4 linked regions of the Kluyveromyces lactis genome follow. The protein of the gene in region 2 interacts with the protein of the main gene of each other region in a pairwise test. Links are inferred from orthologs where the notes say so. Each region holds a gene or a part of one and is shown on either strand. Other genes may lie near its edges.

Evidence for each region.
Region 1: the proteins of GPA2 (region 2) and CYR1 interact in binary tests that used the Saccharomyces cerevisiae proteins (3 or more experiments, as listed by UniProt). The link is inferred for Kluyveromyces lactis from reciprocal best matches to the Saccharomyces cerevisiae genes GPA2 and CYR1.
Region 3: the proteins of GPA2 (region 2) and IME2 interact in a two-hybrid assay, tested with the Saccharomyces cerevisiae proteins (2 studies listed by BioGRID). The link is inferred for Kluyveromyces lactis from reciprocal best matches to the Saccharomyces cerevisiae genes GPA2 and IME2.
Region 4: the proteins of GPA2 (region 2) and GPR1 interact in a two-hybrid assay, tested with the Saccharomyces cerevisiae proteins (4 studies listed by BioGRID). The link is inferred for Kluyveromyces lactis from reciprocal best matches to the Saccharomyces cerevisiae genes GPA2 and GPR1.

Annotation. Positions count from the first base shown.
Region 1 is NC_006042.1:1,446,078-1,450,834, reverse strand, and holds the start of CYR1 (adenylate cyclase), read right to left. Parts: upstream 3,087-4,757; coding exon 1-3,086. Other genes in the region: copper metallochaperone COX17, read left to right, coding at 3,512-3,541, 4,303-4,464.
Region 2 is NC_006040.1:933,540-937,323, reverse strand, and holds GPA2 (guanine nucleotide-binding protein subunit alpha), read left to right. Parts: upstream 1-1,585; coding exon 1,586-3,250; downstream 3,251-3,784. Other genes in the region: CUZ1 (Cuz1p), read right to left, coding at 1-461. UniProt on the Saccharomyces cerevisiae protein: Alpha subunit of the heterotrimeric guanine nucleotide-binding protein (G protein) involved in glucose-induced cAMP signaling.
Region 3 is NC_006042.1:262,820-267,382, reverse strand, and holds IME2 (protein kinase IME2), read right to left. Parts: upstream 3,055-4,563; coding exon 787-3,054; downstream 1-786. Other genes in the region: KLLA0_F02860g (NAD(P)/FAD-dependent oxidoreductase), read right to left, coding at 1-283. UniProt on the Saccharomyces cerevisiae protein: Protein kinase which is essential for the initiation of meiosis and sporulation.
Region 4 is NC_006042.1:2,300,334-2,304,936, reverse strand, and holds GPR1 (Gpr1p), read right to left. Parts: upstream 3,087-4,603; coding exon 486-3,086; downstream 1-485. Other genes in the region: phosphoinositide 5-phosphatase INP54, read right to left, coding at 1-204; MET22 (3'(2'),5'-bisphosphate nucleotidase), read right to left, coding at 4,031-4,603. UniProt on the Saccharomyces cerevisiae protein: Seems to associate with GPA2 and act as G protein-coupled receptor that senses glucose and controls filamentous growth.

The sequences.
Region 1 (4,757 bases), on a different chromosome or scaffold from region 2:
AGAAATAGTAATGATTTTGATAAAGGGGTATTTTCATAGTCCTCTAATCCGGGGTTGTAGCCAAGTAAATTAGAGGAGAAATTTAATGTTGTTAGCTCTAAATTTACAATTGAAATGGGTAATTCTCTAATATTATTACAATGTAAATCAAGTGATTTAAGATTGGAGAGTTCTCCTATTTCTTCCGGAATACTATCCAACTTGTTGTTGGCGGCAGAAAAATGAATTAGTTTTTTTGAGTACTTGATTTCCGCAGGTAAACTTGTTAAGTTATTGTCATTTAATTCAAGCTTCTCAAGCTTTTCTAAAGTTTTCAAAAAATCGATAGGTAAACTGGATAGTTTTGCCTTGTTTAGAGATAAACTTGTAAGGTTAGATAACACATTACCTCTATAGTCGAACGAAGTAACAGGATTTTCTGTCAAATCGCAGCTTCTTAGTTTAGGTAGTGAATCTTCCCAAACGGAAATTCTGTTTGAGGTTAAGAATAAATTCTGCAAATTTGGGGCGTTTGATTTGATAGTGGCAATTCTATTGTTTTTTAGATTGAGAGTCCGTAGGTTTGCCATACCTGACAAATCGGGAACAGCTTGAATTTTATTGTTGGATAGGTTCATCTTCGCCAACTTACTTAGTTCGTTGATGGAAAGTGGAAGTGAATTTATCTTATTGTATGAAAGATCAACCTGTAATAAGTTTGTACACCTATTGATAACTTCGGGGTACGCCGTAAATGCATTGGAGGAGATATCCAACAACTGCAAGTTCTTGAGATTCTTAAATCCAGATGGAAGTCTGTCTAACTGGTTACATTGAAGGTTCAAAATAGTAAGATTGGACAACTTGGAGATGGATTCCGGTACCCTTTTGATAAAGTTTCTCTCTAGGTCCAAGGAAACTAAATCATAAGCCTGTGTAATGTTGGCTGGGAACCTAGATGCCCTGACATTAACCATTCTCAAACTGGATAGCTTAACGGCACTTTCAATGAAATCGATAGGTAAAAAGATATTAGCGTTATTAGAAACATCCAAACTCTCGATTTCAGAAGTATGCTGATAAAAAATGATAGGAGGTGTAGTTAAGTCCATGTTTCTCAAGTCAACATGAATGAAGTCACCCTTCGAGAGCCTCTGTTGTTGTTCTATTGTTAATTGGGAAGTGGTCACCGGGTGGAATTTGAAACTAAAAACAAAGCTGACATCTTCGAGCCCCAAAATATGGAGCGGATCACTCTTCTTGTAACCATTCAATAGTAATAACTTGATCTGGATGAGGATTGGATTTGCAGTTGGTCGTAAAATCTTAGATAGTTTACCAACCTTCAACGACAACTGGAAATTCCCCTGTTGAATATTAAACTTTTTCTTTATTTGTGGTATAAGTTCGGCCACAGATGTATTTGGACGACATGAAAGGGTTGTGAAAGTATCATCGACATTGAAGATTCTAATAGCATATTTTTTGGTTTGGTCAATATCCGAAAGATCACTATAATACTTCTCAAGCATATGTTCTTCGTATTCGGTTTCTCCATCTAGTTCTGTATATTGTTCGATATTTTTTTGTGATAGAGGCGAACCTGGTCGAGATTGCGTCTTAGCAGAAGTTATATCGTCTAGGCTTTCTGATTGGGTTTCAATGGAAATGTCTGAGTCTTCGTCGCCGTTGGGAGAAATTGTGAAACAAAGATCGCATTCGGAGCTTTTCGTTTCTGATAAATGCAGTCCCGATTCGTCATTCGATCCTCTGTTAGGAGGAGAAGTGCGCGGTGACAATGCGTCTTCTTCAAAGTCATGATGGTGTACATGAGGAATTACTGGCTCCGAAGTATCTTTCGCAATGACATTTTTTGGAACAGACCCCTTGGTATGTTTTCCTTGTGATTTGCTGTACCTTTTGCGGTTTTTCCCTCTATGTCGATTGGCCTTTGACATCTTATGTCTTTCTTTAATTTTGTTAACATCAAGACCGACCGTCTCATCAACATCCCAGGATTCTGGAGCAGTCCATTGTTTCCGTAGCGCAAGTGTAGCATCCTTGGTATCTTGTGACGCATTAGGTGATTTTGGTGGAACTTTGTCCGTAGTTTCTGCGGAGGGTGCATTAGAAGTAACGACGACATCCGTCATATCAGAAAGTTTGTCTAAATCTAGGTCAACACCAAATATTTCTTTAGCGGCTGATAATTTAGAAGCATCAAATGAGGTCCCTGAATTTCTTCTTGACAGGTCTGTGTCAATACTTCTGCCTGCAGAACTTACTCCATGTTGTTGGTTCGAAACGCCACTTGTCGCATTCCCACCGCTTAAATTTGAACCATTGCTGGCTTCGTTACCTGAATGTAACAGGGAGCTGCCCTTAGACCCAGAGTGTTTCATATGAGGAGCATTTGCGGATGTCAAAGTAGACGCCGCAGACATGGTTGAAGAACCATGTATGAATGTGCTCATCTTTCTCCGCAAAGCGTTAGTGGGAACTTGCTGTTGCAGAGACTGTTGATGAAAGGGTGACTGCTGTTCACCATCTGAAGCCGACACTCTGCCACCTTGGCTTATTTGATTATCTGAATCTGGAGGCCCTCCTTGGCTTGCCAGAGATGATTTCCTGCTGGTAAGTTTCTTGAAGAAATTAGTTGCACGTGACGGTTTGGTAGTTCCTTTATGTCCATGTGAAGTAGCTGTTGATACTGACAGCGTACTGGAAGTGCGCGAAAGTAGCGGCAGGTTACCTCTTGATGAAGTTGCGGTCAGGTTTGCAGTCCGGGACCTTTCAAAAGTGGGTTTCACCGGTTTTGCCAAAGGTGGTTGAGGATTGTGCGCGAATGATCCAGCATCACGAACTATAGCAGAATGGAAACCCTTTTTCCCAGGTTTCACCTTCTTCGTAATTGCATCTATGGAATAGTCCTCTTTAAAAGTGGGCATACCAACGTCTTGCCATTCGCTATCGGTATCGCTTCGTGGTTGTAACTCCCTACCGCTATTTTTACTTGAGATACTGTTATTTGAAGAAGCACTGCCAGCACTGTTTCTTGCTCCCGAGGAGATGGAGCTTCGATTAGTTTCTTTCGGTTGTGGATTCATAGTTGACCTCTTCTTTCTCTCGCACTGTGGTTTGTCTTGAGTGGTTGAATTTACAAATGAATACAAGTACCCATAAACCAGCACTTAAGAATCCAAACAGGACAGATTATTATAAGGAAAATGATTATTATCCAACTTCTGACAAAGATTATGCCAAAATGAAGTGAGACTATAATCGATTGTGTTTTTGTCAACAGAAATTAAAATTACAAATTGCTGTTGAAGATATATTATTGTCTTTAATTACAAATAGTGTCAAATCAAAGTCTGATAAAAACCAGTGATTAACTAAGAACGCAAAATGATCAACGTACTTGGTTTTTTCAACACCAGCGTAAACACGATAACACAATTGAATCGTTGTAACACTATATTTCAATGAGCACTTGGGTTATGACAATACCAGAGTGAAGTAGGGTTTTACTATGCACCTGAATTTCCAATCTAGTGCATCAGTATGTCCGTATCAAACATTATATTTTGCACATTTTGTTATTTCACATTTTTTTCAGCTCTCCATCAATTCAGTGAGAAATTTTCGTTTCCAACGTGCAAAGTCTCCCCTTAACAAAAAGGGAAGCTTTGACATCATCATACGTGGAACGGTAATGCTGCAATGTGAGGGATCCAGCTGCTAGCTTTAATGAGACCTCATGTTCAAACTGAACCTACTGTCCGCTTTTCATTTTACTGCCCTAAGTTAAGGATGAAGAGTATAAGAGAGGTGATAGGAGATATAAAATTACCACGTGACTGATATTGCAAACTCAGCAATCAGTTGAAATTGAAAGCTGATCTGGTGGTTTTGATATTCTATACAATGTACCAACTTCTTATTTATCTCTAGGAGAACTCTATCGAGCCTGTAATTCAACTTCCAGCAGCTCTCCATATGGACTCTTCGTTCGAACATTTTTACCATATATGGCGGATTAGATAATCAATCGGACAAGTCACATGAGCATTATCCGGGTAATGAAATCAGACACTGAATGTTAAAAGTTCAAAAAGGTAACTACTGAGAAGCTTCTCACAGGATTTAGTAATACAACTAACATGTCGATGGTTTGTAAAGAATTGTAGGTAAGTTATTGAAACCAGCCCTTTAATCTGTCACCATTTAACCTGATACCTTTCAGTTCAATATCCAGACACATCCCAACAGCAAAACTCTATAGAAACAATGCCACAAGAGACCAACACTGCTCCAGTTAAGACAGAGACAGAGGCTACTAAGCCAAAGCCATGCTGTGTTTGCAAGCCAGAAAAGGAAGCTAGAGACGAATGTCTTCTATTTAATGGCCAAGAATCCGGTAAGTGCGATGAGTTGATCGCTAAGTATAAGACCTGTATGAAGGGATATGGCTTTGAAGTTTGAATCTAATGCGACAATGGCAGCTGACCCATTATGACGAAACTTTGCGAAGAGAAGAATATTTATACATATATCAATGTTTGGAAGGTTTGGAAGGTTTTCGACTACCCCATCCTCATTCCTGTAAATACTGCGATAACCAGAAATTCCAAATTCCAACTTTAGTATACCTACAACTATACAAAAATCATTTATGCAATTAAAAGCATAGTCTTAGAAGCTAGGTTCTGTTAATAATTGTGTCTTTTTAATAGTATCATTGAAACAAAAGAAAAAGAAGAAGAGCACGTGATTAT
Region 2 (3,784 bases):
TTATTGGCAGAAGAAAATTTGGTAGTAGATTTCTTACTCTCGAATAATTTACCGTTCTTGGCGAAAAAATGCCGTAGTTTATCGATAGCTACACGAGAACTGGAGGTTTTACTGTTGAAAAGCTTCGATTTTAGGTTATCTACCGGTGGTTTCGAGTTATCCTCTTGCATCATGGTCTTTATCCGATCTGGTGCTCTGGCAGGTAACAAAGATTGAAAGAAGCTACCACCATTGTCCTTCTTCGGAGTGACAGCAGCAGCAGCAGCAGCAGGAATACTAACTGTGACACTGCTGCGGCTATTCTTACCTATCTTCAGTGATTCACAGTGATGATCTTCCTTCAATCTATGGTTGGCACAAAAATCACCGTTGCAAGCAGAACAATGGAACGGTAGGAAATCAGTCTGTCGACAAAACGAACAGTGTGTGCCGACATCTAGCATACCAACTTCTTTAGTCATTGTTTATCAACTGTATTATTTCTTCTTTTAGCCCTTGATCAGTCTTGGTCCCGGACCTGGAGTTCTATAAAACACAAATAACACAAATCGATATCAAAGTGAGAAACTCATCCCAAGTGGCAAACAACCTGTGTATATTATCGGCCTTGCCAGGTGCTCTTTATATATATAAGCGATATGACAAATACGTCCCGCCATCCATATCATAGCCAGTGATGATCTCTGCCTTACTCATCTTCATTTTACACAAGTCTATGAGAGAATACTGTGGAAGATGCCAGCAAAATCACGTGACAAATGTATTTATAATATTCGGGTAACGAGTGTTCCTGTCTCAATGTGTCAATTACAGCTACTCTTAATAGTAACACAAACGGAGCTATTCCAATGGTCTTCTCTCCTATACAGTACATTCAGCCGAGGCTACAGGTTTATTCTTTACATAAATGTTGTTCTCCAGTGATCATGCTGGGTGTCTCCAGAAGTTTTTCCACTCGAGTTTCTAATCACCATGTAGAAACTGACATCTCTTCGAAAGGCTTGTCAGTCCCAATTGTAAAGAGTGTATATTCAGTTTCTACGAGAAGGGAAAACCACTTGGAAAATCCATCAGTTGGAATGGATAGCTGAGGTATTAATATTTTGCAATTTTTTGCATGTTCAAACTACCCACATAACGAGCATGGTATTTAAGGGAGCACAGTTCCAGCTGAAACAACTCGTAATAATAAGGATCTTAGTAATTCCTAGTTCCCCTTTCTTATATTTCAAATACTCCCTATATAATACCGACCAACTTCTGTCTGACAGCCGACAACAAAGTGGTCTACCGATTGCATATCACATCATTTTAACCACAGCGTATCCTTCACAAACCAGCGTAGAAACCAGTTTTCACCATTTTTTTCGTTTCTTTGAGCAGGTTAACATTATTGAAAAATCATATAACGTTTGATTTGAAAGAACTTTACGAAAGGAAAAGGACAGGGAAAATTCTAAGAACAGGTGTTGGTATATTCTGAAATAGAACGTCTAAGAAATCACTAAGTTTCCAACCAATTTAGGAAAGCTGAGCGACCATATTTGCATAGCGTGCTGGGAAAAGAAAAAGGTTAGCTGACGATATGGGTTTATGTGCCTCAAAGGATTCTCGGGAGTCGACTCACGATGGGGGTCCCAGAGTGAATCGTCCCGGTGCAAACGATGCTAACAGGCGGAATGATGTTAGGAAAGGAGCTGGTGACAAGAAGCAGGACAAGAAGAATAAAAAGGCTAAAGGTTCTATCGTAAATGCTGCTTCGAATATTAATAATAGCAGTAGTGGTAAGACCAAAATCAGTACTGTATCGGAAGACGGTACTGTAAGTAACGGCGTAGGTAATACTGCTGAATACGATAATGCAAACAATAAAAATAACGGTAATAATAATAATAGTAATAATAATGATAATAATAACAATAATAATAACAACATTGGTAATAATATAAATGGTAATAATAATAATGACAGCGAAAACATTCACGACAGTAATAATAGTAATATCGAAAACAAGAGATATTTCAACAATATCAATACCGGAGTTTTAAATGGGGTTAATGGTAATAGTACTAATAGTGACAAGGCTTTGTCTAACCAATTTGATCAGTCGAATAATTCAGAGACCCACTCTGGAACTATGACAGGGATCAGCCAGGCGTTGGCTTTGAACGATTCTGGAGTAAATGGTTTCGATACTGATCTGGCAAAACGGAATGGCACAGTGAATGCTTCAGGGGGTCAATCTCCTGGTGGATCTGAGACAGTAAATGCATTAAAAGTATTATTATTGGGTTCAGGTGAAAGTGGGAAATCTACCGTTTTGCAGCAGTTGAAAATATTACATCAAAACGGTTTCAGCAGAGAGGAGCTACTGGAATACAAACCTTTCATCTTTGATAATATCATTGAAACTGGTAAAGATTTGGCCAAGGCTAGAAGAACTTTCAACGTTCAGTTGGAGGAAGATGCTGAAATATCAGAATCAGATCTAGATGAGCTTTTGTCACAACAATATCAACCTACAAAACTTCCTTGTTTACCAGCAGATCTAGCAAAGACACTTAAAATACTATGGAACCTCCAATCAACTCAAGACTTACTCGTGAGTGAACATAGATCTTCTTTCTATTTGATGGATAGCGCAAGTTACTTTTACGAGAACTTGGACAGAATCAGTGAACCAAAATATATACCCACCATCACTGATGTTATCAGAACAAGGAAAAAGACTTCAGGTATTTTCGACACTATGATAGATTTGGATAAGAACTTGAAACTACACTTCTTCGATGTCGGTGGACAGCGGTCAGAACGTAAGAAATGGATTCATTGCTTTGATAACGTGACATTGATCATCTTTTGTGTCTCTTTATCCGAATACGATCAAACACTTCTGGAAGACAATTCACAAAATAGATTGGAGGAATCTTTGATTCTTTTTGACTCAGTGGTAAACAGTAGATGGTTTGCAAGAAGTTCGGTGGTTCTATTTTTGAATAAGATCGATATTTTCGCTGAAAAGCTTCGTCACGTTCCTTTGGAAAAGTACTTCCCTGATTATACTGGGGGCAAAGACATCAATAAAGCTGCCAAATATATTCTTTGGAGATTTGTTCAGTTGAATAGGGCCAATCTCAACATATATCCTCACGTCACTCAAGCGACTGATACTTCAAATATCAAACTAGTGTTTGCTGCAATCAAGGAAACTATCTTAGAAAACAGCTTAAAAGACTCTGGTGTTTTGTAGGGAATGTGATAGCGGCACATGAATACTAAGGATAACAAATTTTATACTAATGACTTTCAACTTTCAACTTCCAACTTATCGAACAGTTTTATGAGGATAATGAAATGTAAGATAATGTGATCTATTTCAGTACTAATAATATCAACATCATGTAACGTGTTATCACCGAAGCCTGTCCTTGTTCATGAAGTTTAGTCGATAACAAGAATGATTTTTCCTAGTTTGCAATAATGTAAAGTTTTTATTAAATTTCAGGCAAATTTAAAATCGTTTTGGACTGGATCCAACATATGTTTTTAGTCCCTATTGAGATATCTCTCTTATCTTGTATATTGATTTACGGTATAACGCAAAGGTTCAACTCTTTCCGTTATGTAAGTTAAATATAAAAACTATTCAGTTAGATCCGATAGTAACCGTTTAGTGGACTATGAGAATTAAATGAAGGTCAAGTATTGGGCCCTTGCTTTTTTTTTTACTCAGACTTAAAGTATGCAATGTATATATATCTATATTTTCGATATGTTCTAACCT
Region 3 (4,563 bases), on a different chromosome or scaffold from region 2:
TCAATCTACCACAATGAGAGTAACAATCATGCAGCATTCCTCGAGGCAAAAATTTGTCACTTTCACCGTGCCAGTATCCCATTGCTTCCACTGCTAGTGCAGCGTAGACTTCATCGTTGTACTCTAGTCTAACAATTTTATTATAATCACAGGACGCACTTAACTGCGATGGAATTTGAAACTTATCAACCACCACAACTTTATATTTGGAACGAGCCAATTGCACAGCAGTACTTAATCCAAATATACCCGCGCCAACAATGACAACATCATAATTGGACATTTCCGGTTCGCTGCCTGTCTAATGTGAGGAAAGCTGTATAGTTGAATATATTATCTATGTTCTTTCTTAACCGAAGTTCTTCTTTATAAAGACTTTGAAGTACAATGTAAAGTTGATGGCTCGAAAGATTTTGAATCATCGGACCTCGGAGCTGATAGGAACAGTTTACCAAGAAAAAAAAAAAAAACTTGAGATAGTAAACAAAGACAGTAAGGATAATAGTGTACATAAGAGGTAAATCAAGTAGAAGTACCATGTTATAGAGTGAAAGAGTTGTCGGCATTTCTGTCCTGTATCCAACAAGTTATAAAGGAAATAATAGAAGCAAGTTATGTTAAAACTTATGAGCTAGCAGGTACAAAAGGTGAATATGTGTGTGTGTGTGTGTGGATATTATAAACGGTATAAATGAATGGGAAGAGGACCAGGTAAAGCGTTGTTGAAAGAAATTTCAACGAGTAGAACTGAAAGAGAGGAACAGCCTGCTGTTCTTTGTTCTACGATCAGAAACTTAATCCATCTTGGAATGTATGATTGTGGGAGTTAGAGGTTTGAATCAGGTTTTGAGATGCATGTTCCGATGGATCTAAAAGACAATCTAAAACTCTTTGCTGTACTGCCCTCTCCAGCAGATTTCTTGGGATCTGTTCTTGTAGATCAAGTGAATCGTCTATTGCCATTTGATCTGATAGTGTAGGACCCGCTGGTCCATTCGAATGCATGTAATTACCTTTGTTTTTGTTAAGTGGTAATTTCTTAGCCATCATATCCTGATAATAGTTTAGAAGACTATCTGCATCATCTTCGTCTTCTCCTTGATTGGAGATCTTCATCTTATCAACGGCAACTTCATTGTTTTCATCTTTGTCGGTCGCTCTAATTTCATGTTCCAAGTTCTCATCAGTATCAAATTCGTCCAACACCTGAATCCTATAATTCTCATGGTCCATGTCAATCGAATCATGTTCATCGTCATCGTCATCAACATCCAGAGTTGGTGGGTTCATCTGATTTGTGGTGTCTTGATAAAGCTCTATTTTGTCATTTAATTCCTTAGAAATTTGATCAGATCCTGTCATAGTCTCCATGCTATCATCCAGCTCAATAGTGAATACCTCATTATCATTGTTGGCATGTCCTATGAGATTTATATCAGGAATACTGTTACCATTAGCGTTTGTAGAGCTATCTAGCCTCTCGTTGTGAGCATTTACCTGTTGTTCCTGCTGTTTTTTTTCTACAATTCCTTGATTCTTCTGGCTATTTGTATTCGTGTTAACACTAGTAAGGATTTTCTCATCATTGTTTGTATTTGGATTGATGTTAACGTGGTTTTTCTGCGTGGAAAATTTGAACCATGAGGCAACTCCTCCTCTTCGCGGTTGCTGTTGGCTTTTATCTGTTACACAATTCATTTGATTGTTCTTTTGAACCTTTGGTAACTTCTGTGGAGAGTTAAAACTAGGAACAATGCCCAATTCCGGGTTATGTGGTAGTCCAGAAAGAATACGACTCCATTGGTTTGATATTGATGGATTTGCTGCAAGTTTATTTGCCAAAGCTGTATTATCCTTATTTTTGGATGCGGTTCCGTTATTTGTCTTTGCCAAAGATGCTTCTCTCATCACGTATTCCTTGAAGTATGGCAATGCACATATTTCGTTTGCAGTAGCCCTTTCACTTGGATTCCACTTTAGGCAAGATGTAACCACATCATATAGATCTTCCAATTGTGGGTTTGGTAGAACATCCCTTATCGTTTTCCCTTCTACGTATGGGAATTCATAGTTCAAAGCTTGGTATAATGGTTTTGAATCCAGCCATGAACCCCCAAAGTGCTCCTTTCCATTGATAGAATGATCTGGGGAGCCCAATAAATCTAGAATCCTCCATATTTGATCGGTTTCGTCAGAACCGGGAAATAGTGGTGAAAAGGTGGCTAGTTCGACAACAACACAACCATACGCCCAAATATCCAACGGTTTGGAATAGTATCCTTTTCTAAGAAGAATTTCTGGTGACCTATACCAACGGGTCGACACATAGGTGGTATAAGGTGATCTGTTATTCACATGTCTTGCCAAACCGTAATCAGCCAATTTCACCACGTAATTATCCGAATAATTATCATCTTCCAACCATTTCTTGCTGAAGTACCTATGAGATGGCGATATCAAGATATTCTCCGGTTTGATATCTCTATGGAAAAAATCGTGATCATGAATATGTTTAATTCCTGCTAATATTTGGAATAATATCGACCTCAAAGTAGGTAGGGAAAACACTCTTCTTTTCCTATGTTTCATCAATTGATAAATGTTCTGCTCCATGCATTCCATTACAATGTGAAGGTGATACAAAGAATCATCAATGAACATCTCGTATATGGTAACCAAATTTTTGTGTGCAGGAATTTGCAATATGAATTTGATCTCTCTGACTCTTGTATAGTCATGCAATGTTGGTAATCTATTCATCATTGTTTTGATTGCCACTATACCCTTTTTCTTATAGTACCAGTTTTCTTGTTCGACGTTTCTGATAAGAGTTTGATCCATCAAAGTTTCTGGGTACATTGAGGAAATTTGGGTGGCTGAACTGTTCATATCGTACATTGTCTCGGCCAATGTCACAGATCCGAAGGATCCTTTCCCCAATTCCTGAATTACGTTATATCTAGCATCGATATTCTTGAGCGGAATATAGAATGGAGGGTTATTAACATCTGGGGGTATGAAGGAATCTGCTGTGGTCAAAGTTAAAGCTGGCATTTTGTTCTTCTTTGCTTTATTGAAGTAGTTGATTGACAAATATTCTAGTGAATTTTATTTTAAAATGTAACGATTAATCTTGTGTTTTAAGATTCAATTACGCGGTAATAAATTAGAAGCACTTTTTTTTTGGTTGATTTTATAACTAATCTTATGCTTTTTTTGTGTCGGCTTTTATTACAGGATTCCTAAAACTGACACCTATTGGAGTGTTTCGTTTTGTGTCTTCTGAGTGCCGTTTTTGCCTTTTTGTACCGCTCTCTTTATTCTAACTTTTTTAGAAAAAAAAAATTTATCGAATGTCTGAAATCTCTGAAATCTGACACCTTAGATAATGCTGTATAGGATAGAATCGAGAAAAATAGAAAAACAGAAAAACAATAATCCTGATATATTAACACTCTCTTAATATGCAGTTTCAAAATGAAACTCAAACAACGATAATACCTTTGATCTCAAAAAGTGAAAAGGCGATGCTGTGTCTAGTTGTTATATACTAAAACACTTTTTCAATGTAAAACTTCAAAACAGAACAACAGGAGCTTCAGTTAGCCACTATCGATCCTAGTAAAAGTAAGTGTGAAATTTGTTCCTTCTGCTGCAAATATGCATGTGGTTTCCTTCGTTCACAATTGATACATAACTTAAAAAGATACACATAACTGACAGCAATACGGTAATTAGAAGATGAGAACACAAAAAGATTCAAAATTAAAGGAGATCCTTTGAATAACGCATCCTTTATATATTCCACAAAAGAATTCCAACATGTCGGCGCCTAATTCTGGTGCAAAGGATGTATTCTTCTTTTCAGCAATAAAAAAAAAAATCCAGATCTACAAGCTGATAAGTGTTCCTGTACAAGGCGATAAATCCATGTATAGCGGTATAGGGGAGGGGTGAGTCTACGATAAGGGAAACTCAATATACAAACCATTAAAAATCTAATTTATTAATTGATTCTCCATATACTTTAAAATGATCGGATTGTACCCCTCCAAATATTACCGGGCACGAACAACTTCTAGAGAGTTAGATTAAGGGGAAGAAAGGTTCGGCAAGATTGGCTACGGGAATTAAACGGGACAGGATGGGAGCGGAAGATATGTACATACTAACCTATGTATTAATAGATCAATCGAATAATTTGGATATAAAGGGGTTAAGTACAGGCACATTTACCGAAAATGCAGCATTTGCCGAATTCTGCAGTGTAAGCGCCGAAAAGATTGGGGCCCACTAGAGATTCTGCTAAGAAGTACCGACAAAAATTTAAGTATACTAGTAATTTATATATGACCCAATATGGCGCACCTATTGCACGTCATGATGTGAGTGGTAAACATTGCGATCGCTTCTGACCATAGTTCTCCCTTCCCCACAGTTTGGCTACAACAACTGAAAGGAAAATTTTTCAAGAAAATATGGCGGCTAAACTTACCGATATAGATAATACCGAATTTCCTTTAATAGCTTCAGTAGAAACGCCCTGCCCCCCTTATGGCAGTA
Region 4 (4,603 bases), on a different chromosome or scaffold from region 2:
ACCTTCGAGATATTGAAAGCAAATATTGGAAAATGAACCCTGCCATATCGACATCAATTCTTGAAACCCTAATATATAGATATCATGGTGTGAAACATGGGGGATCAACTGCTCTAATATGGACTTCTGTGTATCTATGTCATCAAATGGGAACACCTTAGCACAATTGAATGAACTAGCAAATACTTTAAGTGTTCTCGACATCTTCAATGTCTTTATTTAAGAAGTGTACCCGTTAGGGAGATAGAATGTTAATAGGTGAAAAGACTCTCCCTTTGTATATCTTGAACCTTTAAATTTGAAGATTGCTGTGTTAATTATCATATTTTTACGGAAAATGCTAGAAAAGTTGATAGCCAATGATATAAATCTTAACAAGGACTAGCCTACCTAATTCGGTTGGTGCATTTTATGATAAACGATATATCAATCAACTGAAATTAAACTGAATATATATGGTACTTATGTTCAATGTGCATTACGAACTATGTTGGTGGTGGACCTTTCAAGAAGGATAATAAATCTAACTGTTCCTCTTTAGTGGACGATTGAGACTGGTTAGAGTTCGCACAAACGCCTGGCAAATTAGCATTCTTAGTAACATCAGCAAAGTTCATATTTGCCACATTGCCAAAATTGAGTGATCCTTGTAATGGTGTTTCGGTGATGGAGGAATGTTTACTAGGAGAAATGTCACTTGTTGGTTCCTTTTCCTTGGAACTGCTCGAAAGAAGGTAATTGGGTTTAAATAGAGAATTATTGTTGTTGCTCGTATTCTGGTCAATCGCGAATTGCAACCCTGGAATAATAAAGTCGTCATATCTGTTTTTCATCTTGAGATAACGATCTAATTCATCAAGGTCAATACCTTCTTGTAGAGGAAGTTTATGAAAGATTCTCCACATTAAAGGCACTTTGAATTTCCTCTTATATGGATCTATGCCGTTTTCACTACTTCCTGTCGATGAAGATAAACTTTGATGCAGTACAGGAAACAGCTTGAGCTTGTTGGTTGTAGACATTGACATTGTATTACTAGCATGATTTCCATAATACGAATCCCAATAATCTCTATCTAAGCAGTTGTCCTCGAAATTCAAATCAAGCCTCCATAATCCGATTACTGTTCTGTGGACATACCAGTATGTACGTTTCCATAACTGAGGTTTATATTTCCAGCATTCTTCTTTTACCCATCTTCCTCTATAGTACCATCCACGTCTTCCAAGTTCACTTTCGCACATACTTAAGATGTCTGCCTCACCGATTTCTCCCTTGAGCCTGTATTTACTGATTAGTTCTTTGAAATGAATTAAACCCCAAGAATATCTCCAAGGCTGCTCCCTGTACAGGAAAACCGCCACGTCAACAACACCATTCAACGGTTGCATGAACGTAGCAATGTAAGCCAACCATACAATAGGGCCATTGTAGATTTCGTAGCTGTACTGAGAACAGTCTACAATGAATGGGAAGAGCCAAAGTAATAAATAGGCCATAGGATACACAAATATCGATTTAAGTTGCCTCCTAATCTGATCCCTCCGATTTTTAAAATGCGCATACATTTCAGATTGGAACTTATGCTTTATGCCTGTGACATCTTTCCCTGGAAGATGTTCCATTTTTTCAATATCCACTTCTGTTCCCATCGCTTGGTTATCAACGGTATTTGTACTATGTTTCGACACATTGGGCACATCATTCGGAGAGGAAGAAGTTTGTAATGGGATGCTCGGAGGACATCTTGCAGAAGCATAGGAGTTAGCGGGTTGCCGAAACTGAGCAACTTGAGGTTTCGCTGGTGTAAGGCTGTCTGGTTTACGATTTTTGTTTAAATCTTCACTTCCGTCATGACTGGCAATCGGAAGATTAGAATATTCAAACAAATGTAAACCGTTATTACTATTATTATTGTATCCGTCTTCAATGTCAACCTCATCTGGGCTATACTCATATCTGTTAGATAGCCCTATATCCAAATCATTCACTGAAGGTAGGCCTGGCGTGCCAGCACGCTGTCGACCGCCCGCTGCTGATAAATTGTGTTTTTGGCTTTCAGTATCATCAAACAATTCGAGAAAGAAAAAGTTACGTAAAAACGAAACGAATCTCTTGAAACAATATTTTATTCCAATAGCAGAACCATTTATTACATTCAAAGCAATGTTAAGTGATGGCTTCCTGTTGAAAAAATTAACATGATTGTCTTCCGAGTGTTGGAATCCTTTGATTTCTGATTTGATCTTTCGACTTTCTCTGTTAACAAAGACGTAGATGCTGATGTATATTGTGCAAATCGTCAAGAAGATAAAATATCGAGGCACCCAGCTCAAGACTAGTTTATACCATATTGGAACTGGTGGTAAGTAACACCATGCGCTTAAAGGTTTATAACCCCCCATCTTTGCTTGGAATTCAAAATTGTAATTGTTATTGTCTAACACAACGTTGGTGTCAGCTTCGATGACATCTTCGTTATAACTGCTGAAATTAATGAAGGCTAGACTAGCTAACACGGTCGGTGTCAAAGCAGTGAATGGGTATATGAATTTTCTCCACTTGAAGAAGCCCCCTTCCAAATTCCCCGTGTTATTATTTCTCCATTTCCAGTTGGGCTTAAAGATAAGAATGGCGAAATGCAGCGCAAAGACAAAAATGGCAATATCTGCTCCCTCGATAGCATAAGCAGTGAGCCATCCTACAGTATTGTAGAATGCTGGGGTTCCATATATTTCATTGTGTCTTAATATTACCACTGGATAAATCAATAATACAATAGCTTTCAAAAAGTCACAAACTAAAAGGTAAAAAATTAAATGATGTCTGAACACTTTCCGTCGCCTATCTATCGATGTTAGTAGGTATAATCCTATTATACATGCGAAGATAGATGCCACAGAAGCAGAAATTGCGGATATCCTGAGCTTCCGAAGTTGCGGAGCGTTGAATGTTGAAAAAAGCCCTGGTAATCCCAATACCTGATTCACGGTCGTTGTATTCAGGTCCTTGAACGCAGCGATCCTGGCATAATGTGTGTAAGTAACCACCGTCGTGCTAGTTGGGTCTAAAAGATCCTCAATCATCGCGAGAGCAAACGTCTAATAGAACCAATACTTTAATATGTCTAGCAACTAGAAGTGCAGCCAGCGCACTCTTCGCAGCGGAAAAAGGATAAAAAAATAGGACTGAAGTTTGAAACTAATCAAGCAGATTAACAATGGCCAGCGATTGTTAACCTGTACTCAATACACAAGTTCTTGAACCTCAAGTATTGATCTACCTTGATGAACTTCTACTCTGTCGTTCAATTTCAAAAACTTTTGATGCTATAATTACGCTCTCAAGGCAACGTCTATGGAAAATTTCTATCTCCTTCTCTAGAATAAAGGTTCTCCAAATGTCAATAAACGTCAAACACTTGTCTAACTGCACAAATCTCGAACATATATATAATGCTCCAGTTCCTGCAATTATGGTAGTTGCCTGCTGTTTCTCGTTGCATGTCCAGTCCTTTGAATTGTCATGATTTGAAATTATTAACCATTTTCTTTTTTTTTTCTTATCGATATTATTCAACCAGAATAGCAGTGATGAAAATTTCAGGCACAGTCAATTATATGTAGGTTTATGGGAAAATGCACACCGGCATGTGGGAAAACGCCAAGGAGCTTCCTTGGGAAAGGTGGCCTGGATGCCAGTTTGTGATCAGGATTTTGAAGTAATTTGGAACTATCGGGTAATATGTTACACTGACTATGTGGAATTTCAACTTAAGTACGTATGTACATTTTCTATCTATGGTTAAGTAGTGCTATTGTAGGGGTTTTTTTATATAGCTAACGTCATGCGCTAGCAGGCTGGAAACTCATCGGTTGTAGGAACAAGCTCTACCTGGCAACAGCTTGTTGCACTGGTGGTATGCCTGATTATTTGGGTATCGGTTTAAGGTACGTCTACATTTCATTAAGTAGCTTGAAAAAATATACTATGATATAACCTGATGTATGTGTTTGATAATAATATGCGTTCAAGTTTTTCTAGCAGAAATGATGCGTGCTGATGTAGATACTACTCTCGAGTGTAAGCTCTGAGGGCCACAGGAAGCGATGACACCCTTGGTTTGCAAAGTTCTACCCTTTCCAAAGTCTAAGCGTTGATCCTCAAGTGCGTCAGTGTGAATTCCGCCAGCTTCTTCAAGAATAACATTTCCTGCAGCATGGTCCCAGATTTTCTCGGCATAGGACATTTTAATTGGTAAACGGAGGTAAAGATCGCCTAATCCAAGGGCAAGTAAACAGTACTTCACCTGAGAATCCAGATGTTGGGACTTAGTAATACCTAAATCTTTCTTGATGATAGCTTGTTCGTCGTGAGACGAATGTCCCTTTTCGACACCTTCTAGGGAAACCAGGTCAGAAGTATTTTCAACATCTCTGGTATGAATTTCCCTCCATTGTGATTCAGTGGTAATGGAATATTGAGCACCTTGTCCTCTCACAGCTCTGAAAATATAACCTGCAGATAGTGAGTCGCTCAAATCAGAGGCTCCGTAGTTTGATAGTTTCAAATTAGGGCACCCAATGACACCAATTTGAACTTC